Tribolium castaneum: one gene and its partners. The protein of the gene in region 6 binds, or shares a complex with, the protein of the main gene of each other region. Links are inferred from orthologs where the notes say so. Each region holds a gene or a part of one and is shown on either strand. Other genes may lie near its edges.

Region 1 (4,277 bases), on a different chromosome or scaffold from region 6:
ACAAAAATTCCGGTGATAGAATTTTATTCGTAAAAAATTACTTTTCTAATCTTAGCTCATAAATTTGTATATAAGCCTCCGTCAGCGTAATCATCTGCGGCAAAATATCCGTCACATGCAAGTCCTGCATCTCGTACCACTTGCCCGTTGATTTTTGCAAAATATGAACCCTGTAAGTGCCTTTCCCCGGCTCTCCATCATGCACAATATTCGCCACTAGATCATAGACCGTATGTTTATGTTTGGCCTTAACTTCGGGCGTCAAAAACTCGCCAAAATCAACATTCCTAACCGGAAAATTCACAATGGTTGGATTCTTCTCCACGTAGAACGTGTTCTTCGTAAACCTCTTAATATACAAGATTAAATAAGGCGGCAAACGCGTAATCTCAAACTTCTTGAGGAAATTCTCCTTGTAAGTCTTGTACTCCTTCTCGGTCTGTCCGTTGAACTTGGTGAGGAGCTGGTACAAGTTCACCTGGGGGATGATATTCTCCCGGAACTCGTCGATGAAGAGAGGCGGTGGAGGCAAGTCGCAGGTGAGGTACAAGAAGGGTGACTCGGTGATGATCTCCTGGTACTCTGGAGTTGACAAAAGCATGCGTTTCTGTCTGTCGTCAAGCTCGGTCGGTGGTATTTTCCTGGTGTAAATTTTCATGTTTCCGAGGAATGACTGGTAAATGATGGAACTGTTTTTCTTTTTATTGCCGTTAAGTGCCCGATGAAGTGCGTTCAAAAACCACGAAAGGAAATCAATGGGGTCGCCTTGTGCCGTAATTTGGAAGCGCTTTTTGCTCCACAAAACCACAGCTTGGAGCATTTCGTGCGGCGAAACGTGGGCTTTGAAATTTCGGGGGTTCCATAATTTACGCATCAGTTCACCGTAACGTTGCACCAGGAGGTAAGAGGAGTCACCTGGGGGGCGTTTTATCTTGCTGTAGTTCTCCTCACGGAGGAAGTAATTACGTAAAGGGACAACACGTGAAAGGGCTTGTAAAACAACATTACAGTAATCGTTCGCTTTTATGTTGTTTAAACCGACGATTCCTGGCATGTAAAGTAGGCCATCAATTGCTCGGGACATTTTTGTGCTAACGTCCAATGTACTGATGTGTTGTTCGGTAAATGTGGGGTTGAGCAGGTATTTAATGTCGTCGAGGGACGAATCTGTGAGTAATTTAATTTTGTTAGAAAAAAATCGTTGGAGCTTGAAATTAAGTGGCAACACTGATTACTGAAACCGAATACTTCCCCGAACATTTCCTAGTATTTGCTTTTTTCAATTCAGAAATTGACAACACGATTATCGAAAATAGACAAAAAACACAAAAATTAACCGAAAAACCACCAAACGGATTCAATAATTACATAATGTTTGTCTTTTCCGAAGATCCCAACTTGTTATTTCAGGCAGAAATGCCAAACAAGCCGCAAAATTACCAAATCAGGCCACAAATTATCTCATTTTTCCTTTTTTTTTAAGCCATTATGCATGTTTTTGAGCTAAACAGGCATTTATTTTACAAAATTCGTGAATTATGACATTGTAAAAACGTATAAATCCTAATCTTTGTAAAAAGTCTCCCAATTGAAGACTTCGCGCGAATTTCAAATCACGCGCGCTCAAGTGTCATTTTCAAATCAGCCAATGAGGTGCCGTTGGCGTGACATCAGCGTTAGAGTGAAGCTTGTCTGCCGAAGTGCGCGTCCTTTTGCTTTTGCGTGTTGAAAAACCGGTGTTTTGTGCGTGTTAAGTGGCAAAAACGACTCAAATCGACTTTTTATCGGAAATGTGACGTGTGTAGACTATCAAAGTGTGTTAGCAGCAAGCTGGAAGCCGGTTTTGAAAAAATTCAGTTAGACGACGCTAAGGTTAGTCATTTTTGTATTTTTTCCACGATTACTCGGTTTAATTCGAGTTAGTTTCGGTTGAAAACGCATACAAAACGATATTCAATAAAATGCCAATCGGAAAAATGCGACAAAACGAAGATTTCACTTTATTTTTGAAGGGGGGCGTTACTGGCATTGCGCCCTCTCAAACATTCGCGTTATTGAAACGATTTAATCTAATTCGGTGTAAAACTTCAGCTCGAATCAAGTGAGTTGGGTAAAATTGTTGAAATTTGAAGAAAAATGTTGCCAACTTAATTTCAAAACTACAATTGAGAGTATTTATTACCTATTATTTCATAATTGTCGGGCAAGCAGTAAAACTTCAAGGTGTGCAAGTTGAGGAAAACGTGGTGGCCTTCGGCCACCGAATGCGTATAAGCATGTGTGTTTGTGCCTCTACCTTGGAAATATTTTCCGCAAACAAGACAGGCATAAACGTTGATGCGAGTCAACGACACTGAGCACAATTTTTCGAAATCAAAGTCGAGATATTGCCGGTTGATTGTGTCCAAATAGGGGCACAGTCGATGCGTTTGGGGCTTCCCACCTGGAATAGACAATAATAGAACAGGGCGCTTTAATCGATTGATTTTTGTACCTTTCCGGTCCGAATTGTCAGAAGGGGGCTCAATTTCGGCTAAAATTGAACGTTTCAGTTGCGTTTTCGAGGTTATGTGTACTTACGTTGTGAGGAGTTTGATTTGGCTTGGGGCTCCTCGAACTTGGGCTTTTTCATGGCAGGTTCATCGTCCGCTTCCATCGTATTCACGCTTTTTTAATTAATTTTTGATTAAATCACGCTAGGACTGTTTTTGTGTGGTGTTTGCAACTTTAAGGTTATATTTACTGTCAACGGTGTCAATAATAATGTCAATCTGGTTATGCAATAAAATTCGAAATTGTAAAAAAATAAGTACTTTATTCAATAAAATTACGCTTTGAGACTAACTTTCTCTTCTTCGGCGCCTCGTTCATCACAAACTTCGACTTCCCCTCTCAGTTTTTTCTGGATGTCTTCGAGGGTTTTTCCTTTCGTTTCAGGCACAAAGAAATAAATAAAAACTAGTCCAAGTAGCGAACAAATCCCGAAACCGTAAAACGAGACATGTAGTCCGTATTCTACTTTAGTTATTTGTAAGTACTTGGAGGCCACTGTGGCCATCACACTGAAGTAAACATCGGCCAAACAAAGCGCAAAAGCTTTCACATTTGTGGGAAACAACTCCCCTAACATACAAATCGGGATTGACTGCATCCCTAAACTGAAAATTATCACAAAAGCTAGAAGCCCCACAACGGCCACGATCGAAAATGAGCTCGTATCAATGTCCGTTTCGTTCAAAAGATAAAAATAGGTCCCTTCGACAAAAAGGGCTAACGCCGACCCCGCCATTGAGATGATCAACAGTGGTCTTCGACCGGCCTTATCCACAATACTCGAGGAGAACATTGTGAGGAGCAACTGGATGGAGTAGTAAATCATCACAGCGTAATGTGCGGAAATGTGGTCCCCAGCAGTTTGGAAAATCTCATGGGTGTAGAAGGCAATAGCCGTGGTCCCCGCCAATTGCTGGAAGCCCCGGAGCCCCCCGATGATGAAAACGGCCTTCCGGTTGCTCTTCACCCGGAACAAGTCGACGAATTTCCCATTGTGCGACTTTTCCTCAGCCTGGATTGCGTTCCGGATTCGGTTCAAATCCCCGGAGACATTTTCGCGTTTTTTGAGGCGTTCTAGTGATTTCCGGGCCTCGTCCGCCCTCCCACGCATTAACAAATAGTACGGACTTTCCGGCATCCACAAGAATGTAATAAATAGGATTGCCGGCACAATTGAGGACACAAGTGCCGTGGTTTTAATACTAAGGTACGACCCTATCACATTTATGATGAGAAAACCGGCGATCCAGGTCACGGAGCAGCTGGAGCCGAGCATCCCTCGCACCTGGGGGTCGGCGATCTCGCCGATGTACATGGGGACGACGGTGAAGGTGACGCCGTCGGCGATGCCGGCGATTAAACGCGCGATGTAGAGGAGGACGATGCTGGGGGCGAAAGCCACCATTATCCAGGAGAGGAAGAAGGGGACGGCGGTGGCAAGGATGGTGCGTTTGCGGCCCAGGATGTCGACGATGGTGGCGGCGGTGAGCGAGCCGATGACCGCCCCCACCAGGGGCATGACGGCCAGGTTGGAGCCCTGGTTTTCGTCAATGCACAAGGTGCAAGTCTCGTTGTTTTTGAGCTGGGGGAGGCTGGGGGACGACCAGCCGTAGATCATGCCGTCGGTGACGATGGCCAAAGTGCCTGCGAGGAAGCGAAAGTGAGTTTCTCGATTTTGTAAGGATTGGATTCAGGTCGTTAAGTTTTTAGGGGTTTCTGGTTCA
Region 2 (3,047 bases), on a different chromosome or scaffold from region 6:
AATATCATCGTTTCACCGTACGGTTTTTATTTAACTGTTGTGTCACATAAAAATCTTATTAACATAATGCATTACCACACAATACTGTGATAACTCGGTGATTAGAAAAACAATTAACGGTGATTAGGAACCAATTGGATTCCTTACCAGTAAGGGCCTTAACTTCATCCATGAAAGTCACTACGAAAATCACAAAAACAGCACAAACATTTTTTAGTGATACCATCTTGGTATTCTCGCAACTTTTGCACAAATGAGAGATGAACTTTATATTTCTTGTACAATATATATTACAGTTATAATGGCAAGGTAGCAGCTTTCTCTTTCGCGCGCGCGTTTTTGGTACTTTTGAGACAGAGAAAGATACAATGAATGTGTCCAGTTGGGGGTTACCCGCTTGACTGTTACTATACCTTTCACTCAGAAGCCGCACCTCACTAAGAAGTAGCGTCTTCTCTGTCTCACTCGCCTCTTCACGTGTGGGATTGGAATAAAACCAGTTCAATTTTTTATTTGTTTATTTATTACACAATTTACAAAAACATTAATCGGAATCCGAATCTGAGTCATTCTTTTTCTTAGGATTATCCTCTCGATTCAGCCGCGCTATGAGTTTCCGCGCGGGGTTGAAAACGCCACTCGTTTGCGTGTTGCAGACGAAGCACCTCGTCGTCTTCTTGTACCTCTCGAGGGCGCACTTCTCGCAAAAGTAGTGTTTGCACCTAAAATTAACTGTAATAAAGACTCGTAAAAGGTGCCTCCTACTTTGTGACAATCGGGTCCACGAAGCTGTCCCTGCAAACGACGCATTTGAACGGCAAATCCTCTTCGTCCGAGTCAATCTCGTATTGTTTATCCTCGTCGCTTTCTTGCCCATATTTGCCTTCCGCCCATTCCCGCTCAAGCTGCCAGCCGTGTTTGTAGTCACTCCTGTCGTGCAAAAATTTACAACTGTCCCCGAAACCGCAAAAGCCTGTTTCTTTGTAGTCCTTGCAAATGTCGGGTTGGTAGTCCCACCGGACGGTGGCACGCAGGTTTGCGGGGGCTCTGATGGGGCCCTTCCTGACCATTCCCGAACTGGCGTTGCCCGCAGCCGTGTCTTTGGGCTTGTAGTACTGTGCGTAGTTGTTGATGCCTCTGTAGACTTTATCGTCTTCCTTGCCCTCAAGATTTTTATTAATTTCTAGCCGCTTCTCGAAAATGGCTTGGGCGTCACGATCGCGCTCAGTTTCAAACTCCTTTAATTAAATAATTATTGATTGGATAATACTAGTGAGTGGTTAAGTGGCTTACAAGAGTCGCCGTCGCTCCCTGATCTTGAGGTCCCTCAGGCATAGCGGACCGTTTGGACTTGTAACTAACCATAATTTCCTCCTCACTGCTTGAGTAGTTCTGCTGCTCATGTTCTTTTTGTTTGGCTTTGCTTGTGGTTTGGAAGTTGGGGTTTGCTTTTCCCCGACGCCGGTTCGCCCGCTTCACCGCAGATTCGTCCTCACTGTTGGACTTTTCTGAAGAAATCGCAAACAAACATAACCTTTAAAACACGAAAACTAAGTCTACAACAACAGTGAAGGTTAATTCACGGATTTGGGGTACCCACCTCCTTCCGAACTGGATTTCTGGCGCTTCCGCGCCCCTTTATTTTTTATATTCCGTTTTTTAAATATAAAAGTGCAACTTTCATCAAGTCCTGTTTTAACGTCACGCGGATCATCCATCTTTGACAAGTGTCAAGTGTCAGTGCTGACGCCAAACAAAATATCAAAAATTTCAAAACTCAATAACGCCTTTGTGGTGTTAGACTTGAGCCAAAGCAATTTAATCTAATTTGAATTTGTAATTACACGTTTTCCTAGTGCGTCATAATGGTAATAGCAAGTGCTTGAATGTTAATTGCTTTCGCGGTTCTGTTGGTAGTTATGGGTGACGGTTCCTGATTGGCTAAATTTGAAAGTGCGTTGACGTTTGGCATCCATCTGCATCGTAACGAATTTTCTACAAATCAATTAAAGTAGAATTAGGATAATTTATTAGTGAACGTGGTAAAAATGGCCCAAAATTTCAATCCGTTCGTGGAGCAAGTGCCCGAGAACGTAAAGCAGGCCGAAAGTTCCAAGAAGGTATCGAACGATAATCACGCAGTGACAAAAAGGTGGGCAAAAAGTGAGTCTAAATTGGGGTGCTAATCTTTGTTCGATTTGCAGATTGCACAAAGAGCTTATGACTTTGATGATGTCCGAAGACAAGAGCATCTCGGCGTTTCCCGAGGGCGACAACCTGTTCAAGTGGGTAGGTACCATAATGGGGCCCAAAGACACGGTTTATGAGAGTTTAAAATATAAACTAAGTTTACAATTCCCGAACTCGTACCCCTACGCGGCCCCCGTAGTAAAATTCATCACGCCTTGCTTTCACCCCAACGTCGACACCAGTGGGAACATCTGCTTAGATATTTTAAAAGAGAAGTGGTCGGCGCTTTATGACGTTAGAACAATTTTGTTATCAATTCAGGCCTTGTTAGGGGAACCAAACACGAGGAGTCCGCTGAACACGACGGCCGCCGACAAGTGGAAGAAAAAAGAAGAGTACAAAAAGCTGGTGTTAGAGTCGTACAAGGAAGTCTAAATTTGATCTCGCATTAGAAAAATTTCAGTTATTTAAGATGTCATTGTGTAATAATAGACTGCGTACATATTTGTGTTATATAATTTTTACTATTTCTCGTGTGTTATGATTGAATAAAACGATCAAGTTTCAATAATTTATTTACATAAATAAATATTTGGCTTAGCGAATAAAAATACGTTATCACGACTAGGATTTCACGATAATCAAGGTAAAAAATAAAATAATTGTGGTTACAGCCAATACAAGGATCGCGCACATCTTGCGGTTTTTCCGCTGATAAGCGTCTGCCTTTTGCAGCTGTTTGAAGCCTTCGTAGACCTGGATCTGCGTCTGTTCCACGTTGTAGTCAATTCTGTCCAGAACTGTCCCCTGGTCGGCGACCATCTGACTGAGATCTTTGAAAATTTCGTTCAAGTCAA
Region 3 (4,284 bases), on a different chromosome or scaffold from region 6:
TACTTAGTGAGAAACATAAAAACATTAAAAAATAATGAAAACTGAAGACATTAACAAAATACGTTTGTAGTTCTAGACTTTCTAAAATATGAGATTAGGAATTTTTTAACGAATTTTGCTCAACAACGTACCATTAAATTGGTGCGCCAGTTTTTGAGCATCCTGTATAAAAAAATTATGCATCTACCATTTTTTAGTAAATAAAATTCTCATTGCGATATTTTTTTCATGCGGTTTGAAGGTAACTTTTTTTATAGAAAAATAAATCGACTTTAACTTATTTAATCTCGGGTACAAATATTTAAAATAAGATAAAAACTGATCTGTGACGTAAAGACCATTTTTAAATTACTGTTCTTAAACATTTTATTTCAAATTTTGCGTTCATGTGTTTATTTGAACAGCTCCTCCACAGACGTTCTCAGTATAGTTCAACATTAACTATTTGTCATGGAACTATTAAGCTAATATTTTCAATTGAGAGCATTCAAACAGCAATACAATTTACCTATAAATTACTTATTTAATGAAAAAGTATCCAAATGATTCTTAAACAGGTGCTAAATCGGTTCTTGTAAGAAGATTACAGAGAAATAAAAAAATAAATGCCTACTTTTTAGAAATACAGAGCAATTATTTTAATTAAATCTACCTACTATGAACTGAAAAGGTCAAATGCAAGTCAATACTTTGTCTTTTCTCTATTTTTAGTTTGAATAAAAACGGCTTATTTCTGACGATTCTTTGGTTAAAAACGAAAGATTGAAAAAACTCTAGATAAAAAGAACGTTTTTTTTGCACTAATTTGGACGAAAACGATTTATTTTATACAATTTCTTGCTTAGAAACGAGAAAACTCTTTGAGAAGTGGCTGAAAACCGCCTTATTTTAGCCGAAAACAACGATTTATGTTATAGTTTGGATGAAAACGGCTTATTTCTGGCTATTCTTTGCTTAAAAACGAGAAAACTCTCATAAAAGAAGATTGAAAACGCCTTATTCTAGCTCAAAAGAACGGTTTATGCACTAGTTAGAACGAAAAAAAAAATCATTTTGTATAATTTCTTATTTAGACACGAGAAAATTCTTGTATAAGTGGCTGAAAACGCCTTATTTTAGCCGAAAACAACGATTTATGTTATAGTTTGGATAAAAACGGCTTATTTCTGGCGATTCTTTGCTTAAAAACAAAAAACTCGCATAAAAAAAGATTGAAAACGACTTATTCTAGCTCAAAAGAACGGTTTATGCACTAGTTAGAACGAAAACGATTCATTTTGTACAATTTTTTGCTTACAAACGAGAAAACTTTTTGAGAAGTGGTTGAAAACGGCTTATTTTAGCCGGAAACAAACAACTATTTATGTTATAATTTGGATGAAAACGGTTTATTTCTGGCGATTCTTTGCTTAAAAACAAAAAAACAACGCATAAAAGAAGATTGAAAACGCCTTATTCTAGCTCAAAAGAACGGTGTATGCACTAGTTCGGACGAAAACCATTCATTTTGTACAATTTCTTGCTTAGAAACGAGAAAACTCTTTGAGAAGTGGCTGAAAAGCCGTATTCTAGCCGAAATTGACTTATTTTGGACGATTCTTTATCTATTTTCTTCCAATAAAAATTCTGTGAGACATCAAATAGTAAATTATTTTCTTTTGCCGTAATAATTTTATGAAAATATTCTAGTCCTCAATTTTTCGTTTAGCCAACAAAACTACATACTTTTGCTAATATTCAATTAATTAGCCTTCTCTCAAATGAAACGTTATTACTGCTTTTTGTGCTTTTGTAAGATACGAAATTTTTTTTTCAGAATTAATTTTTACGAATTATCATTTTGTTACTTCATGGCTCATGACGCAATTAATGTTCCATTTATTGGGACGAAGTATCATAAGATACTATAAAAAATAGAGACCTGGCATTTGCAAGACTTGGATGAAGTCAATCTGGTCCTCCAGCAACAAATCGTACTCGTCCTTCTTGGCTGAATCCTTGGCCCCGAACTTGAAGACCGCCGACGCCATTTGGTCCTTCTCCCATTTCTTCTGCTCCGACTGGGGCACCTTTTCCAGCTCATCAACTTCCACATAGTCCGCTGTTGACCCCTTGCCCAAATCCCTGGGCATGTGGTACCGCTGCACCCTTTCCAATTCACGCGCTTTTTCATGTTCCTGTGCCAACCGCAGCAATTCCCGCTTACGGTCGCGCTCCTTTTTCTCACGTTCTGTTAATCTAAAACCTCAGGTTGGCATTTACCGCAAAATCATTCCACCAACTCACATCTCCTCCTCGAACAAATACTCATCGTCAGCGATATCCTCCTCCAATTCCGCGATTTTATCATCTTTACGTTTCTCTAAATATTTACGTCTTGACTGCACCCTCAAGGCGGGGATCATTTTTTCGCGGTCTTCAGTTTCCAGTTTGAGTCTCTTGGCGGCTTCCTCGTAAGCGCGCCGGTCTGAGGCCTGGACAATGTTGCGGACTTTGGCTTCATCGCGTTTTTTGAGTCTACTAGCGAACTCGTCACGTTCTTTCAGGTCTTTACGACGAGCTTCTTCCTCACTGTCCACGGACTCGGAGTCCGAGCTCGATTCGTAGCGCTTACGCCCCTTCTTGTCTTTTTTGCCCATGGTGAGGCACTCCAGCAAGTGTTGACTACAAAATTTTACTTGTGCCTCGCTAATATGTGTAGTTTTTTGCTTAATTAAAGAGTGTTTTACTGAATTTTACATTCTTCCACCAACAACATAACCTCTAAATGTCAAAACAAACTTGACAAGTGGTTAGGTTACAAGTCCGGTGGCACCGAAATTTTGAGAATGCGATTTTAGTGATTGCATTCAAACCAATTTATTAAAATATTAAAAGGCTGTGACACAGGGATAAATAAACCAATACTTGTATTTAATATAGATTTATTTCTTATCACATAATTTTACAAGTTAATATTTTTTTACCTAGAAGAAGTGAAAATTTTGGTCTTTTTTCGCATCTACTATCACAATTTCCAATTCCAAGGTATACAAACCACTCCATCTGAAAGAACAGAGTAGTAAGTAGCTACGTTTAAATGTATACCGTTTAGATATTGTTCTATATCAATTTTTTTTTCTAAGAGCCGTTCACAGCATTTAATCATTAAATCCGGTGTTATATTATCATCTTTCCTAAGATTAAATAACTTGAATTCATCCATGCATTGTTTTTGCAAAGACCGCTCTATGTATTTATCGCTGAAATAGAAACAATTAACGGGAATCAAAATAAAACATTCACAAACTTTTTATATTCAGTCATTTTTTCCTTGGCGTGTTCTAAATTGGTTGTGATAAAATTGACTAACAAAAATCCAGGTAGGGAAGACGGGACTATAAACTGACCAGTGGGAGAGACCATCAAAGGTCCAGCTTCCCTAAAATAATAAAACATTTATGATTAAATTAAAATAAAAAAATTCATACGTTTCAACAACAATCTCAAATTCTTCTAACGACTGGGGCCACTGCTTAGGGAACCCCCGCCTTCCTCTATAGTCACTTAAAGAAGTCGTGATTTGTTGCAGGTTTCGCTCGTATTCTCCCGCCAAAACTTTCGGCATAAATTTTCTGAAAAAACAAATCGTTTTAAATTAATTCAAATCCAATCAATAATAACCAAAAGTCTGAGAAAAACTGACGACTAAATTTTATATGTGAAACATGAGAATTCTTACCTCCTGCCAACTTTGATCCCTCTCAAGACTTGCGAGACGGATTTTTCAAAACCAGGAATTCGGAATAGGATTTTGTCGTGCTTTCTCACGTTTTTGATCAACTGTGGTCAAGAATTACTTTCAAAACCACATTCAAATTTTCACTTACATCAAGCCAATTGTGCCGCACTTCCCCACTGTTGAGCATGATGTGCCCCTCTAGGCTGATCCCTGTAAAGGGTGCAAACACCAGCGTGCGGCCCTTCAAAACGTGCATAACTTCCGGATGTTGTTCAGCCAGAGACATAAAGCTTTGCAGACAGCCCCGAAAATGGGTGACATTCCAGCCGCAGTCCCAGCGGACGTCGGTCAGCTTCCACTGTTGGGCGATTTTTTTGCGCAAACGGTCGACCTCCTCGCGTAGAGGCCGATTGGCTTCGAGTTTTTCTAAGGCACTTTGGTAGTTCTTAACCAGCCAGTTGCGTAACTTGAGGGCTTCTTTGGCCTCGTTGATTTTTTGGCGCATGACAATGGGGCCAAAGATCGGGTCGTTTTCGTTCACTTTCGAAAAATCGATGTTGCTG
Region 4 (4,273 bases), on a different chromosome or scaffold from region 6:
TGGAGCGGGAGCGACGTTTCTCCTTGTCCTTGGAGAGGGAGCGCGACTTGCGATCCTTTGATGCTCGTGGACTAGACGACGAACGGGATCTCGAATGCGATTTGCTGGGTGACTTGGAGCGTGAAGCCGACTTTGAACGGGAGCGAGATACTGATTTCGAACGGGAACGGGAGTTACGCTGCTGTTGCTGCTGTTTGCCGTTGCCGCCGGCCATGGACATCAGCTTCGCTTGAAGCTTTGACACGGGCTGGGAACTCTCTCTAGACAGTAAAGCCAACGTTAAACCTGCCCACATCGTTTGCAAAACGGGCAACAAAAATAATGGAATCAAGACGAAGCCAACGATGCATTTTGATTACACAAAATGTCCGAACAAACATTAAATACATCGGTACAACCCATCACATACAAAAAAAAGGTAACGCTATTATTTAAACTGTTATTCTTCCTTACAAGTGGTTTTTAATTTTTGTAATTATTTTATACAATGGACGATAAAGTTTTATAAAACCAATAAGACTGAGGTATTTATTTATAGCCATAATATAGTTTATATAACTGACTTTTTTTAATAAAAGTGCTTGGACGCAAGCTAAGACAAAAAAACTTTAAAAATGTTTTCTTGGCAAAGAAGAACACCGGGAAATAAAACTTCTAATACAAATATAAAAAATCTATTAATAAATTCGTGTTTACCAGGCACTGGCACGATAATGATTAGTGTGAAAAAAAAAACAAAATAAAAAGTGATAAATACCAACGTAATTTTGTAATAAAAATAACATTTATTTTAATACATAATTAAAAAATGTTTTAATAAAGCTACAGAAAAAATATTGTACGTTACTCTTATGAAAACACAACGTATCACTCACCCACGTAATGCAACATATCGTTTTTAATCCTTGTAACGTAAATAACCGTTTGCATAATTTTTCGACGTAATTAAAAACAGATTACAAAAAACCTGTAAACTAATATCTATTCGAATAATTTTAAGAAAATTATTTGAATCACATAACAAAGTCAACTTGCTCACACAACTACGTCCATTTCCAATATAACGTTCCATCATTAGATGATTAAAGCTGCATCATCAATGCATGTTGACAAAGAATGGTTTTTATTAAATACATACAAAATCACAAAAATTAATCCACAATTATTTTAATACGTTAACAAATAAAAATAAAATCAATCCCAAAACGTGCCAAAATAGCGCAAACCTTAGAAAACTTATTAAACAAAAAATCCACGCAGTATTAAAATGTGCAAATTTTTTCACTTGCTTAAAATACTTTTAGCCAGTGATATAATCAAGAAAGAAACCAACTTTCTCTAACGTTCTTTATTTATTTATTCAACGAATTTTGCGCGTCATAAAAATAATAACCATTTTTAGCATCTTGCTGAAATTGTGTCGTAACACGAGTTACTGAAGCAATTTACAAAACTCACCACTTACCACAACGTGCAATTAATTTCCGCAACAAATTTAATCTATCAGTAAACAAACTTACGAATTATGTTTAGAATTGGCAGTACTGCTTTCCAATTTGGCAGAATCCTCTCTGCCATTATTCTCCCGTTCGTTGGGACTTGCGTTGCCGTTGTTCCTCAAATCATCAATCTTGATCCTGGATCTGGAACGGCTCCTTGACCTCTTGTCCTTCCCTCTATCGTTGTTCCTGCTGGACCTTTCAACCGACCGCCTCCTGGGCCGCGACCTTGACCGTGATCTCCTCCTAGACCTGGACCTGTCCCTATCCCTGTATTTCTTCTCCTTGTCGGACTTTTCGCGTTCGCGCTCTTTTTCTCTTTCCCGGTCCCGAATCTCACGCTCTTTTTCCTCTTTCTCCTAATATAACACAAGCGGTGATACCACCAAAAGTATGTAATTTATGCAAACCTTCTTTTTTATGATTTCTTCACGCTTCAAGTCCAAGAGTGAGTCGGGGATTCCGGACGGGTTCTCCTGTGCTGAGATCAAGAGCGCCCACAGCTCGGCCATGAACTCGCGCGCGTTTTTCCCATGCAGAAACCCCGTAAGATTGATTTGGATCTTTTTAGGATCGGGAAACTGCAACGTAAATATTTAAGCAAGCGAGTTTCAGTTGGCAATGTTGTACCTTCTCATCTAGTTGATTATAAACAAAATCGACGACGACGTCGTCATCAATTTTCAAGATTTCCGTTAATTTGTCTTGGATCCACGGCTTGATGACATCAAGTTTAATTTTGGACATATCAACCTGCAATTGAGCGCTGCTTTATCACGGTACCTACGCTTGGCTTAATTTACCCTCTGACTCAAACAATCGCTGAACTTCATCTGCTTCAGGAGCTTTTTTTCCTTATCGCTGAAGCGATTGTCTTGCTCGGTGGTTGTGCCCTGAAACGAGTTGTTTACAACAATAATCCCTTAAAATATTTGACAGTTCTATTAATAAACACCAAGGGGGGACGTAATCCACTTGCAAAAAACTCACCGTATACATCATCATAGAGTCCGGAAATGGTCCTTTCGTTGCAAACTAACAAAAACCACTCAAATTACTAAATCAAGAAACGAGGAACTGTAGCACAGACGCCGGTACTTGACTTCACGATATACACATAATTGAATTCTTCACATGATTTACTATAACACTAAACTACAGCGGTTAATGCAAACTCCCGATTAACGCGACTCACAATAAAAAAATCATCGTTTTTTACAATTAATCGCGCACTAAATTCTACAAATCCATGTTGCTTCCAACAAAATGGCGTGGCGTCATGGCGTCAAATTTGTTGATAATTCCAGATTCTGCCTTACCACCGCAGCTCTACCGCACCGACCGGGCCAAGCGCGACTTTAAAATCTGAGAACTCATTCAAACCTATTTTAATAAAAGCCGCTTTATCGCAAAACTACAACAACGCCCAACCACGTATTTTACTAAAAATGAGGCAAAAACGCTACTTTGTGCAAAAATAGCACACAAGAGCAGCCCAGTTGTAAAAAATAAAATTCCGGAAAAATTCCCAAATGAACTGCTTTTTGCCGGTCATTCACTCCCAATCAAACGCTCTAAACATAAAGTGCTAGTCAAAAAAACTGTTTTGTTCACGAAATCAAATCCCAATTGGTATTTTTCTTAGAACTCGAGAAACAAAGTTGTCTTCAGCACAACATAATTGGGGGCCCAGATGAGACAGGTAGCCTCCATTGAACCGTAATGGTCCGTCGACTATTAGCCAGTCATCTGTTATAATAGGAAAACAGGGTGTTCTCCCACTTAGCAACTGTTCTTGTTCTTTAATCCCTCCCAGGTACAACATTATATCATTTCCGTTTCACAAGTTCAAGAACAACCTGGTCTTCAGTCTACTGGCACACTTCAAAGAAATTATTTCGTGCAGCACCCGACCAAAGTGCACCAGTGACCACAGTGCCAGTTAGTGAAAAAATAAAGTAGAAAAAAGGTGGTTCAAATATGGATTGGCAATTTTGAGTGAAACGCACCGAAAATTATTGTTTGCTAGATTTGCAATTTTTCGAGTCTCATAAGTGCCAGAGTCAGGACAGGATGGCCATTAGCAAAAATACGGTTTTTGCGGTAAGTTTGCAGGGGCGCAGGGCTCAATTCGCGCGAGTATGTAGATTTACCGATATTCAAAATATTTGCCCTCTGCAGCCCACATAAACGCCGAAGAACAGTTATATGATGAGGTCAATGATCAGGTATCGCTTTGAGTAGGTACGTACTGGACAGGTGGTCAATGTAATGCACGGGACAGTGTCGGGTTTAGATGATTTTACCCATCATTGACGGTTTTTTGGAAAACCGGTGATGTCATCATCTTGTTGAGTATTTGGTCAGGTATTTCGTATTGTCTGAGATGACTAGCCTTCGGAATGAGGTTGAGATGGTAATTAAACGGTACTTTTCGTGATTAATTTTTAAAAGACCTACAGCCGAAGACGAAATTCATGTCACGAAGTTTCCGTGCTTATCGAAGGCTTAATTAGACCTCATCGATCGCAATTACCTCTTCGAGGGTATAGTATAGTTGAAAAAAGCCGCTAATTTAATTATGTCGTGCGACTTTGTTCGTGAGGTGGGATAAGAAACCAGAAAATTATAATACGAGGTACTTGAACCGCACGACGAAATTGTAATTATAACAGGACAATATAAACAAGTAAAATTTAAACAAGTTTTGAGAAATTGTAAATGAGTGAAAATGCGCACTTTGTATTTCTTTTATCGCCCCAAGTCGTTAACAC
Region 5 (3,500 bases), on a different chromosome or scaffold from region 6:
GTTAAAGAGCTAATCAGAAATTTAACATTTTTGAAAAATTCAATTAAAGCACAGTGTAAAAATGCACGGACTTTATTTTTATAATAGAACATTAGAAAGTCTTTTGTTCTTAATATTAAAATTATTATAAATTAAAATTGTTTTTTCTTGTAGTTTGCGGAAGACTTAACAATGTTTGACATTAGAAAAAAAATACGTAAAGCAAGGGCTTTATCATATTACTATTTTATAAAAAATTCAATTTACTAGTTGTTGAAATAGGTTATTTTTTGTAGGTATCACGCCCCAAATGTGGTTTACATTAAGACAGAAGATCCCGATCTCCCAGCCTTTTATTTTGACCCGTTAATAAACCCAATCTCGCACCGACATGCCGTCAAAAGTTTGGAACCTCTACCCGAAGACGACGAAGAATACATTTTACCAGAACATGTGCAACCCTTTTTGCAAGAAACACCACTTTATACAGATAACACAGCTAACGGTATTGCCCTGTTATGGGCTCCTCGTCCATTTAACTTGCGTTCAGGTATTCATTATTTTATTTAAACGTAGAGAAAAAATTTATTTTAATACTTGTAGGACGTTGTCGCCGGGCCATTGATGTACCATTGGTCAAAACATGGTACATGGAACATTGTCCTCCTGGACAACCGGTTAAAGTGCGCGTTAGTTACCAGAAATTGTTAAAATACTATGTTCTTAACGCGCTTAAACACCGGCCTCCTAAAGCACAGAAAAAACGCTACTTGTTCCGTTCATTCAAATCCACCAAATTTTTCCAAACTACTACACTTGACTGGGTTGAAGCTGGTTTGCAAGTTTGTAGGCAAGGTTACAACATGCTCAACTTGCTCATTCACCGGAAAAATCTCAATTATCTTCATTTGGACTACAACTTTAATTTGAAACCTGTCAAGACTTTGACGACAAAAGAACGTAAAAAATCCAGATTTGGGAATGCTTTCCATCTGTGTAGGGAAATTCTACGTTTGACTAAACTCATAATAGACTCACACGTTCAATACAGACTTAACAACGTTGATGCGTTTCAACTGGCTGATGGTTTGCAGTACATTTTTGCCCATGTCGGTCAATTGACTGGCATGTACAGATACAAATACAAGTTGATGAGACAAATCAGAATGTGTAAAGATTTGAAACATTTGGTATATTATCGTTTCAATACGGTAAGAGTTTGTGAAATTTTATAAATCGGAAGTTAGAAATTATTTTTATACAGGGTCCAGTTGGGAAAGGTCCAGGTTGTGGATTTTGGGCTCCAGGTTGGAGGGTTTGGTTGTTCTTTATGAGGGGAATTACACCTCTGCTTGAACGTTGGCTCGGCAATTTACTGTCACGGCAGTTTGAAGGCAGACACTCCAAAGGTGTTGCTAAAACTGTGACCAAGCAAAGGGTTGAGTCTCACTTCGATCTTGAGTTAAGAGCTTCAGTTATGCACGATATTGTCGATATGATGCCTGAAGGTATCAAACAGAATAAAGCCAGGACCATTTTGCAGCATTTGTCCGAAGCGTGGCGGTGTTGGAAGGCCAATATTCCTTGGAAAGTAAGTTTCCTTTGTTCATTTTTTTTCAATTAAATATACGGACAGTGTTTTGCTATAAAAAATAGAAATTAAAAACATAACTGCATACAATGAACATTACAATAGCTAACATTTAGAAATTAAATGAAGGTTTTTAGGAATGAAATTTATTTTAATATACTAGTTAACAAATTTCTTAACAATTACAATCCGCTTTAACACAAAACTTGGCTTTGGTTCCAAAAAAAAAATCGGTAATAGACTGGTTGAAATCGGTTATAAAGTGATCTCAACAGAGACAACATGTAGTGTTCCAGGCGTTTGATTTACTTTAGTTTCGAACTGTTTTTTAAGCTAGTTAAAAGGTTATTAAACAATCTTGCGGCGTGTCTAAATCAAGTTTTTAATGAAAATATTGGGGTTTATTCAATTACATAACACATGTGGCATGCATTTTTGTTCATTTCAATTTTGTATAATGTAAAAAAAATATATTTTGTATCAGAAGAGTTAAAAAACATAAAATAACTTCAGTACAAGCAGTTTAGAGAAGCTTAAGGTTTTCTTTAGATAAACAGTTGTGGGAGACATTATTTTTTTACAAGATGTAAAATATGTTTTACAACTATTCTGTTGATTAAAATTTCATCGAAGTTATAAAAACCAAGACACACTTCGTTTTATAATGTCTCTTTGTGTTTTAAAATTCTATTAAATTCCAACACTTTGTATAACTATTTAGTTAGTTTAGTTAGTTTAATTGGACAGACCATAATAAATAAATAATGCTGCCATTTTTTGACAAATTAAGTTGAAAAAAATATTAGGGGTTGATTTCATTAACGATAAATAAATCGCCAGTTAGTTATTTGACCAATAATGTTTTAGAAAAACTGAAAAAAAAATCTTTATTAAATTTTACTCTACAGGGTATTAATGTTCGGACAGAAAACTGTTTTACAGATTTAATATTAAGTTACGTCTCCTTTCCTTTCCTGATTACTTGAACCTTGGTCGGGATAGTTTTTACTAGGTCTCAACAAAATTCAGGAGTAAAATGGTGCATAAATCTTGTCTTGTTCCTATTGAATGATTTTATAAATGGTTATTCATTTCGTTCCAAAGTTTTGATAATATTTACTTATTAGATACGAACTATTTGAAACAGTTTATGTTATGTTCTCCATACTATTTTTTATTTGTTGTTTCACATGCTCTTCCATCTTGTAGAAAAATAAAAACACATTGAAAAATTACATTTTTTGGTTACATAATATAATTATAATAATATAATGTCACGGTAATTGTCAACGTTTGCTTACATTTTGATTTGATTTAACTTTATGCAAAATCTGTCAATATCGTTCCAAAATATCATTTTCTAATTTGCTTTTTAACTTTTGCAATGAGTAAAAAGATTAGTTTGAAACAAAGTTCGTTCAATGAAAATAATAATAATAATGCTAAAGAATTCTAGACGTGCGCAAGATCAAGAGCTTTCAAATTTGAAATTATTTCAAAAATTATTTTTTCAAAGCTTACGACAAAATACAAATTGTTAAACCTATATCAAGTTTAGTTTCACAAGAACGGTGTTCTCTTTTTGATAATAATTATTTTTTTTTAATTTTGGTGTTATAGTAAAATTGTTACTTAACATAATTTTCTGTCTTGTTCATAATCTTACTATTTTTCATTTTTGTCATACACTTTCTCTGTATTACCTGTTTACATAAAATAATCATTCATAATACTTCTGTTATGAGTAAATACATCTAGGACCTTTAACATATTTTTGTTGTTTTTAAAGTATTCACAATTATTTATAACGATTTTGGGAAAATTATTAATCAAATAACAAATTGTTATTTTATGGATGTTTAAATTAATATCAACTCTTTATTTATTACTGTTTTGTTTAAAAAGATAAGCCACTTAGAAAATAAAAACT
Region 6 (3,500 bases):
AGTTGTAGATGAGAAATAAAGACAGTTTAGAAATCCCAGACAAAAACAATATAGTATATAGAGCTTAATATCTCAGTTATTTGCCAACGGATTGTTATGAAATTTAGAATGTACATATTTTAGGAGGTGGTCTTTCAATTAGGGTCAAAAAAATGACCTCAAGTTAAAAAATGTAATTTTAAAACACATTTCTTTTATTTAAGATTAAGTCAAACTAGGAAATATAGATGGCCACACAAAAATTCACCAAATCGCTCTGCTGATCCAAGAAAAAAAATTAGGTTTTGTTGTTAAAAACTTAATCCAAATTTTGGAAAGTATTTGGGCAGTCACCTTTTGAAACAATTGATGAAGCATTTCTATGCGGCATTTTGTGTACCATTGAAAAAATCTGTCAAAAGTGTGTGCGCTATCAGAAAAGTAAAACACAGAAATTTCAGTGTTGTTGAAAAAGGAAACAATATTCCTCCATAAAAAGTTTCGTTGAACTTCTTGTGAAATGTTATTCATGAAGTTTAAAGTTCAAAGAATCTTCAATAATTTGAAGACACAGGAAGCGTACGTGAACTAAATCGAATGAGGATAAAATGAAAAGTCGTCACTGGAAGCGAAGCAATAGCTGGGGCTGTAACATCAGCTTTTGAAGGGAATTTAATCAGCAGTGTACGATAAACATTTCCAAACTCCTGAACGTTCAAGTGCCTAAAATTTTTCAGTTGTTCAGTCTTTTTGTCCTTTTTGAACGAATTAAAGCATCCAGTACAAGAAGGAAGTTAAAAATACTGTTTGTTAACTTTGTAAGGATGAGAGATAAATGTGAAATGTCATTTGCGTGACACGTTTGTGCGAGTAGGAGTAACCAAAATTTAGTGGTAGCGCGCATATGTTTTATAGGGACCTTTTGAATTTGTATCCACGTTTAACAGTTTGTTTCTCATTTTTCTTGCAGAACAAACTTCTTTCACAAACGAGTTTTTTCTTACATCATTTTTCATTGATGATTAATTTTTTAATAAAAATCTTAAAAGGCTTAACATTTTAAAAAGGCATGTAAAAATTACGTTTTTAAGACTTGAGTTGTTGCATTAATTGAATTTTAATCTTTACCTTCTAAAATATCTGCATTTTAAATTTCACAAAAATCCGTTAACAAATATCTGACATATCAGGCTCGAAAGTCTTAGCTGAGACACCCTGTATATTTTTTGGTTTTTGATTAACTAAATTTTAATCAGCCCCTCAAACTTTGACTGATGGCTTAAAAATTATCGTTCGTAGACAAAAAATGAATATAGATCACAGATTCAATTGTCTGATCTAGTTAATTTTAATATAAAAACTAAAAGTACTCTTTTACAACAACTAATGTATGTTGAGAAACCAAACTTTCACCAATATCTCAAAAACTGTTTCTAGTGTTGTGGATAAGAGGTAAAAATAGATTGGAAATCTTCAAGCAAACTTCCTCTAGAAAAAATTTTGAGATGATTTGTTTCTCCATTTTGATATTAGGCTCTAAAATGTATTAACTGAAATCTAAATTAAGTCAAATTATTTTTTATTTCTTATGAACGAAATATGATAGATTTTCACTTTTATTAGTGGAAATTCAATAAAAACGCAAAAAGTCACTTAAATAGCCATTTTTGGATATAATCAAAACTCTGACCTACCTGTGCTTCTGTCTATGACAAAAGTCGATACTTTGTTGAAAAATGATGTAAGTAAAAATAAAACGAGTTAGCGAATGCGAATAGTTTTTCTTCCGGTTCCTAGTTGTGCAATTTTTTGTTTTATCAGTTTCTGATATTTTTTTGGTATTTAAAATAAAAATCTATGATCTTCATTACCTTTTTCAATTATTCGAGTTATTCTAATAAGATAGCTTAGCTGTTTTCAAAATATTTAGAGTAGAGAAAACTCAAATTTCCACCTGCCTTTTCAAAGATTGATAATTCGGCCAATTGTAGTAAATACAGGGTGAGTCCATGGGGTGAGCTAACAGTGGGTTATTTCCGAAGAGCAATTGGTATTTTTGGTTGCATCTTAGGACATGTCAGAAGTAACCCTCTATTGAATCAGACTTGAGTTTGGAAATCGTATTTGGGTATTTACTGAAAATTCGCAGAGTGGAGAGACATATTTGTAGTTCTACCTCGATAAGAAAAAAAAAAGGAAACTGGATCCACAATTAAAACCCGTTTTTGAATCAATTGAGTAATTTACAAAACTTGCGCATAAAACCTTGTATGTAACTCATACTTACTTTATCAGTCATCCGATCCAAGAACGGTTTAATATCCTCTTCCTCCGCATGGAAAAACTTATTAGACTGTCCCTCAGACGCAGCATACGTAAGTAAATCAATTGCAGTCAAACGTGATTGTTTCCTCGTCGGTACGAAAACAATAACCGGCTTATGTGGACTATACCTCACCACAGCATTATAAACCGGCTTCGCCATTGCGATAAGTCTCGACGCATTATGTGTAATATTAATCCCCTGTACATGCAATTCCAACGGTACAGGCCTCACACTCGGATGAAAATTAAACGTTGCATTGGCATTACAACCCAACCATTGAGACACATCTCGATAATCCATAAGCGACGCACTTAATGCTATAATCCTGATCGGTTTCTCAATCTGTGAGGAAATATATCGCATGCGGGAACACACAACTTCAATAACAGGCCCATCCTCCCCACCAATCAAATGCAACTCATCAACGATAAACAAATTCACATTTTGGACATTCTTTCTTTGTTTCCATCTTCGCGACAATACATCCCATTTTTCGGCCGTGCTTATAACAATCTGACCTTTTGCCAGTAACTTCAAATCAGTCCCGGTTTCACCAGTTAGGAGCACTACTTTCTTGCCCAAAATTTGCCCAAATTTATTGTGCCAATCGGCAAACGTTAACTCAGCTAATGCATCTTTCGGAACGAGATAAACGCACCGACCTTCCGGGTTTTTATCAAAAAGGCGAAGTATCGCAAATTCAGCGATTGTAGTTTTTCCAGAACCGGTCGGGGCACCAATAAAAATATTATCATCACCGTTGTAAACCGAATTGAAGACTTGCGTCTGAATTGGATTAAACTGCGGGAACTTGTCGTTATACAACGACTCGAATTTATCGTTCCGTAAGGCAGTGACTGGTAAAGGTTGCAAGTCAAGTAGTTCAGTTGGTGGGAAATTCTTCTCTGGTAGTATCAAATGTCGGAAAGAAACTGGTAATTGTGTCTCGGCTCCGATCCATCGATCTGACACAATACGTAAGAAGTACTGAGGTGGCAAAGGTTCGAAAATCGGGACAAAAAATTTAACCAAATGCTCGTCTTGTGAATACTTCGCTTTGAGCAAAAAATACTCATGGTGGAGAATAACCTCTGAATCCACATCTTCCACCAAAATCCAAAACGCTTCAGACGCTCCATGAAGTTTCTCATCCCACTGAAAGTCAGGCGTTATGGTCAATTCAACCTTCAACATT
Region 7 (3,290 bases), about 19 Mb from region 6:
TCGGCCTCTTTGAGCTGTTTTTGCAAGTTGTTAATGTCGTTGTCCTGACGCTCCACTTCGGCCTTCAAGATGTCCATTTTTTTGTCGATTTGCGCCTGTTCAGCGGCCAGTTTAAGGGTTTCAGTCAGTTCGGTGTTTTTGGCCACCAAAAGCTCGGTCAGTTGAGCGTATTCAGGGCCGGAAAGCTTGAGGTGCTTGGGGGCGATTGAATTCTCGATTATTTCTCTAAAAAACGCAAATAAAACCATACGAAATGACCCGAAAGGGGGACGTACTTGGAGATTAACTCAATATCGTCGAGGATGTAAAGGAGTTTTTCCTTCGTGCTCATTTGAGACGACATAATGATGGGGAAAAACACTCACGGGTTTAAATATTAAACGAAATAATCAATTGAACAGTTTTTATTTCGAACACAACCTCAAATACACAAATGTCAAAATAACGCGCACACTGCGATGCCATCTGCCCAGAGAATAACTAAATCGTAAGAGCGGGAATTTTAATCGAAAAAATTACTTTATTGAAAGAAACCTAAGCTAAATTAAAATATATACACAAAATTCAATTCTCTTCACTCTTGACTTGAACCGCCGGCTCTTCCTGCTTCACATCGTCATCCTGTGTCTCATCTTTACTATTCTCATGCAATAAAACGTACTCCCTTGAGCTGAACCCAAACTTGATCACGTCTTTCTCCAACAACTCCACATATTTACTCGGCTCTATCTTCTTATTATTGATAAAAGTCCCATTAGCCGAGTTCAAATCAATCAAATACGGCCTTATTCTCTTCCCTGAAAAAAACAATGAAAAACCCAACACACTACCAGCTGTCCCACAAACCAGTGGTGCCATCCTCACGCGTGAAAGGGACTAGGCGATACTGCAAAGCTGCGTGTTGTTTTGAGCACGAAGGGTGATCTACAGGGAGATCAACAACTTTGCGATCGCGCCCAATCAAGTAGGCGCTTTCGCGATGTATGTATAAAGTCTGAAGGGCCTTTTCGCCCTTAAAAGGGTACAACCGCCACCGACGTTTCGGCTTGCAAGCCTCAGGCGGCTCGCTATATTTTATAACAACGCCACGATAAGTGTTAGTTTCTTCGGTAAGTTTTCCCGAAAGACCGAAATTCGGTTTTTGCTTTTCCTTCTGGTCTTTTTCCTTCTTGTCGGATTTTTTGTCGTCCGACTCGCGGCCCCAACGGGCGTTCGAGTGGTCAAAGGAGGCGCTTCTGCTACGCCGCCTTGGATGGTTCTCTCTGTTTCGCTCCCGGTTGTGGTAATTTTTGTTATCGTCCCGTCGGTTCCTGTAATCCCGTTCCCTGTCTCTGTAATCAGGACGCCGGTTTCTGAACCTGTTATCGTGAGAACGGTGGTCATTGGGGCGGTTTCTCCTGTCGTCATGCCGCCCCCGATCGTCCCGGACCCTCTTATCGTCCCTCTCCCGCCTGTCCCGATTTTCAGGCACAGGACTCCGCTTGCGTTTCCTTTAAACACAACTAGTATTTTCCCTTAAAACCACCAACAATCATACCTGTCGGTTTCTTCCTCATTTGTTGGCTTTTTGTCCCTCTTTTTTGCCTGTTTATTCGCCTCGTCACTTGCCACAGGCGGAGTTTCGTGTTTTTTATGCGAGTTTGCCTTCGTTTTGGTTTTCTTCGGCGATTCTTCAGTCTCAGGTTTCGATTCGGTTTTCTTGCTTTTACGTTTCGGGCGCCGTTCGGGTGATGAATCGGAGCTTTCGCTGCTTGAATCTGATGAACTGGAGCTGCTGGAAACGCGCTTCTTCTTCTTTGAGCCCATTTTTTGTTTGTTTGGGCGAAGTAACTTTAAGGTTATAAGAAACGCTACGTCTCGCAATTGACAGGTGTGCCAATACAACCGGCGAAAAAAAATATTGTGGGAAAAAATTAATTAAATTTGCATTATTATGTTCCGATTATAGTTCTGACGAAGACTAATTGTTAAATAATCTTAAAAACTGGCGTTTTTTCTCGAAAACTGATCGCTGATGCTGACAATTGACCCAACCTCAACTTTTGACATTGACAGGTCCCGCACATGTCATCGTTTTTTCAGTTGTGAAACACTTTAAACGTGTTCATTTTTAGACAAAAACGTGATAGTAAATAAAAAATACAATGCCGACTGTGGGTGTCAAGCGCAATTTGCTATTCGAAGCCCTTGGGCGCACTTTCAGTAAGTTGTTTGATCACTGTGCCCCCTTATTGCCCCAATTTGCAATTTCCAGCCGACGATGAATTCCAGCGTTTATGCTTCGAGTTCGGTCTTGAACTGGACGAAGTCGTAAGTATTAATCTTTCAAGCGATAAAATGATGCAATAATGCCCTAAATTTCAAGACAACTGAAAAACAGATGATAAGTAAGGAACAAGGGGAGGATTCAGCCCAGGCGGCGGGAGCCTCCGAGGAAGTCATTTATCGAATTGACATTCCTGCAAACAGATACGATTTATTGTGTCTTGAAGGCATTTCATTAGGAATTAAAATATTTCAGGGGAAGTGAGTCATTAGTTTTGCCTTGACTTTGGCACTGTAATGTTTTTGTAGAATTCAGCCGCCGGTTTACAAACGTATCAAACCGTCATCAGACAGTATTCAAAAAATTCACGTCACACCCGAAACGGCGAAAATCAGGCCTTATATCGTAGGCGCCGTTTTGCGTAATTTATACTTCACTCAAGATTCTTACAACAGTTTCATTGATTTGCAAGATAAGTTGCATCAGAATATTTGCCGCAAACGCACGCTTGTCTCAATCGGGACGCACGATTTAGATACAGTTCAGGGGCCCTTCACCTATGACGCTAAACCACCTTCTGAGTTTAAGTTTGTACCACTTAATCAAACCAAAGAGTGTGACGGCAACGGCGTTATGGAGCTCTATTCAGTAAGATTTTGACCGAGTTTGGGGGATTCCCAACAGTCACGTGATATTTCAGGCGCACGCGCAGCTAAAACAATACTTGCACATCATCAAAGACAGCCCTGTATATCCACTCGTTTTGGACAGTAATGGGGTTATTTTATCCCTTCCGCCGATTATTAATGGGGATCACTCCAAAATTACACTCAACACCAAAAATGTTTTGATTGAATGTACGGCAACTGATTTGACTAAAGTGAGTTGAACGTTTCAATTGAAACATGCCATAGTGGAAAATTTTATTCATTAAAAAAATTCATAACTCGAAAACTAAAAGTCGTAGAGCAATGCGGTTTGTTCCATTGAATTCAGCGGCTCATTTTCTGTGTTATACCAACTT

What was found.
Region 1: Brr2 (region 6) and Usp39 share a complex: the UniProt entries of both Homo sapiens proteins name them as parts of the U4/U6-U5 tri-snRNP complex. The link is inferred for Tribolium castaneum from reciprocal best matches to the Homo sapiens genes SNRNP200 and USP39.
Region 2: Brr2 (region 6) and mdlc share a complex: the UniProt entries of both Homo sapiens proteins name them as parts of the minor spliceosome. The link is inferred for Tribolium castaneum from reciprocal best matches to the Homo sapiens genes SNRNP200 and RNF113A.
Region 3: Brr2 (region 6) and l(2)37Cb share a complex: the UniProt entries of both Homo sapiens proteins name them as parts of the minor spliceosome. The link is inferred for Tribolium castaneum from reciprocal best matches to the Homo sapiens genes SNRNP200 and DHX16.
Region 4: Brr2 (region 6) and Srrm1 share a complex: the UniProt entries of both Homo sapiens proteins name them as parts of the minor spliceosome. The link is inferred for Tribolium castaneum from reciprocal best matches to the Homo sapiens genes SNRNP200 and SRRM1.
Region 5: the proteins of Brr2 (region 6) and Prp8 are in contact, whole or in part, in a cryo-EM structure (PDB 7OS2), measured with the Homo sapiens proteins. The link is inferred for Tribolium castaneum from reciprocal best matches to the Homo sapiens genes SNRNP200 and PRPF8. Residues at the interface, in NP_054733.2 of Homo sapiens: Pro543, Met544, Arg545, Ser546, Thr570, Gly571, Thr589, Glu591, Lys592, Ile595, Arg624, Arg728, Lys729, Glu773, His786, Ala787, Thr814, Glu837, Tyr992, Thr1008, Ser1010, Ile1012, Leu1041, Glu1042, Arg1043, Val1044, Pro1045, Ile1046, Pro1047, Val1048; in NP_006436.3 of Homo sapiens: Trp2073, Arg2074, Ala2077, Ile2078, Ala2081, His2084, Asn2109, Lys2113, Tyr2168, Glu2171, Met2172, Arg2266, Leu2268, Gly2269, Phe2270, Gln2276, Arg2287, Leu2298, Ala2299, Asn2300, Glu2303, Glu2307, Arg2310, Pro2311, His2313, Phe2314, Leu2315, Asn2316, Phe2317, Ala2318.
Region 7: Brr2 (region 6) and uncharacterized protein LOC661495 share a complex: the UniProt entries of both Homo sapiens proteins name them as parts of the minor spliceosome. The link is inferred for Tribolium castaneum from reciprocal best matches to the Homo sapiens genes SNRNP200 and SNIP1.

Annotation. Positions count from the first base shown.
Region 1 is NC_087394.1:36,569,871-36,574,147, forward strand, and holds Usp39 (ubiquitin carboxyl-terminal hydrolase 39), read right to left. Parts: upstream 2,801-4,277; 5' UTR 2,657-2,800; coding exon 2,581-2,656; intron 2,534-2,580; coding exon 2,495-2,533; intron 2,444-2,494; coding exon 2,183-2,443; intron 1,873-2,182; exon of another isoform or gene 1,629-1,872; intron 1,168-1,628; coding exon 38-1,167; 3' UTR 8-37; downstream 1-7. Other genes in the region: facilitated trehalose transporter Tret1, read right to left, coding at 2,828-4,197.
Region 2 is NC_087396.1:11,857,785-11,860,831, reverse strand, and holds mdlc (E3 ubiquitin-protein ligase RNF113A), read right to left. Parts: upstream 1,741-3,047; 5' UTR 1,719-1,740; coding exon 1,601-1,718; intron 1,509-1,600; coding exon 1,294-1,508; intron 1,239-1,293; coding exon 766-1,238; intron 723-765; coding exon 545-722; 3' UTR 501-544; downstream 1-500. Other genes in the region: probable chitinase 2, read right to left, coding at 148-226; vih (ubiquitin-conjugating enzyme E2 C), read left to right, coding at 2,049-2,152, 2,205-2,625; Syx16 (syntaxin-16), read right to left, coding at 2,815-3,047. UniProt on the Homo sapiens protein: Required for pre-mRNA splicing as component of the spliceosome. As a component of the minor spliceosome, involved in the splicing of U12-type introns in pre-mRNAs. E3 ubiquitin-protein ligase that catalyzes the transfer of ubiquitin onto target proteins.
Region 3 is NC_087398.1:7,190,233-7,194,516, reverse strand, and holds the start of l(2)37Cb (pre-mRNA-splicing factor ATP-dependent RNA helicase DHX16), read right to left. Parts: upstream 2,801-4,284; 5' UTR 2,640-2,800; coding exon 2,287-2,639; intron 2,239-2,286; coding exon 1,922-2,238; intron 1-1,921. Other genes in the region: T-cell activation inhibitor, mitochondrial, read right to left, coding at 3,008-3,242, 3,290-3,421, 3,471-3,614, 3,722-3,822, 3,870-4,284. UniProt on the Homo sapiens protein: Required for pre-mRNA splicing as a component of the spliceosome. Contributes to pre-mRNA splicing after spliceosome formation and prior to the first transesterification reaction.
Region 4 is NC_087398.1:3,111,837-3,116,109, reverse strand, and holds the start of Srrm1 (serine/arginine repetitive matrix protein 1), read right to left. Parts: upstream 2,801-4,273; 5' UTR 2,505-2,800; coding exon 2,490-2,504; intron 2,393-2,489; coding exon 2,303-2,392; intron 2,253-2,302; coding exon 2,130-2,252; intron 2,081-2,129; coding exon 1,910-2,080; intron 1,859-1,909; coding exon 1,521-1,858; intron 261-1,520; coding exon 1-260. UniProt on the Homo sapiens protein: Part of pre- and post-splicing multiprotein mRNP complexes. As a component of the minor spliceosome, involved in the splicing of U12-type introns in pre-mRNAs. Involved in numerous pre-mRNA processing events.
Region 5 is NC_087394.1:7,714,791-7,718,290, reverse strand, and holds part of Prp8 (pre-mRNA-processing-splicing factor 8), read left to right. Parts: intron 1-275; coding exon 276-529; intron 530-582; coding exon 583-1,190; intron 1,191-1,243; coding exon 1,244-1,570; intron 1,571-3,500. UniProt on the Homo sapiens protein: Plays a role in pre-mRNA splicing as core component of precatalytic, catalytic and postcatalytic spliceosomal complexes, both of the predominant U2-type spliceosome and the minor U12-type spliceosome.
Region 6 is NC_087397.1:20,466,825-20,470,324, reverse strand, and holds part of Brr2 (U5 small nuclear ribonucleoprotein 200 kDa helicase), read right to left. Parts: coding exon 2,267-3,500; intron 1-2,266. UniProt on the Homo sapiens protein: Catalyzes the ATP-dependent unwinding of U4/U6 RNA duplices, an essential step in the assembly of a catalytically active spliceosome. Plays a role in pre-mRNA splicing as a core component of precatalytic, catalytic and postcatalytic spliceosomal complexes.
Region 7 is NC_087397.1:1,785,578-1,788,867, forward strand, and holds uncharacterized protein LOC661495, read right to left. Parts: upstream 2,001-3,290; 5' UTR 1,807-2,000; coding exon 1,538-1,806; intron 1,491-1,537; coding exon 847-1,490; intron 798-846; coding exon 565-797; 3' UTR 501-564; downstream 1-500. Other genes in the region: MED4 (mediator of RNA polymerase II transcription subunit 4), read right to left, coding at 1-225, 276-343; beta-PheRS (phenylalanine--tRNA ligase beta subunit), read left to right, coding at 2,145-2,202, 2,255-2,310, 2,366-2,526, 2,575-2,914, 2,967-3,146. UniProt on the Homo sapiens protein: Required for pre-mRNA splicing as component of the spliceosome. As a component of the minor spliceosome, involved in the splicing of U12-type introns in pre-mRNAs. Down-regulates NF-kappa-B signaling by competing with RELA for CREBBP/EP300 binding.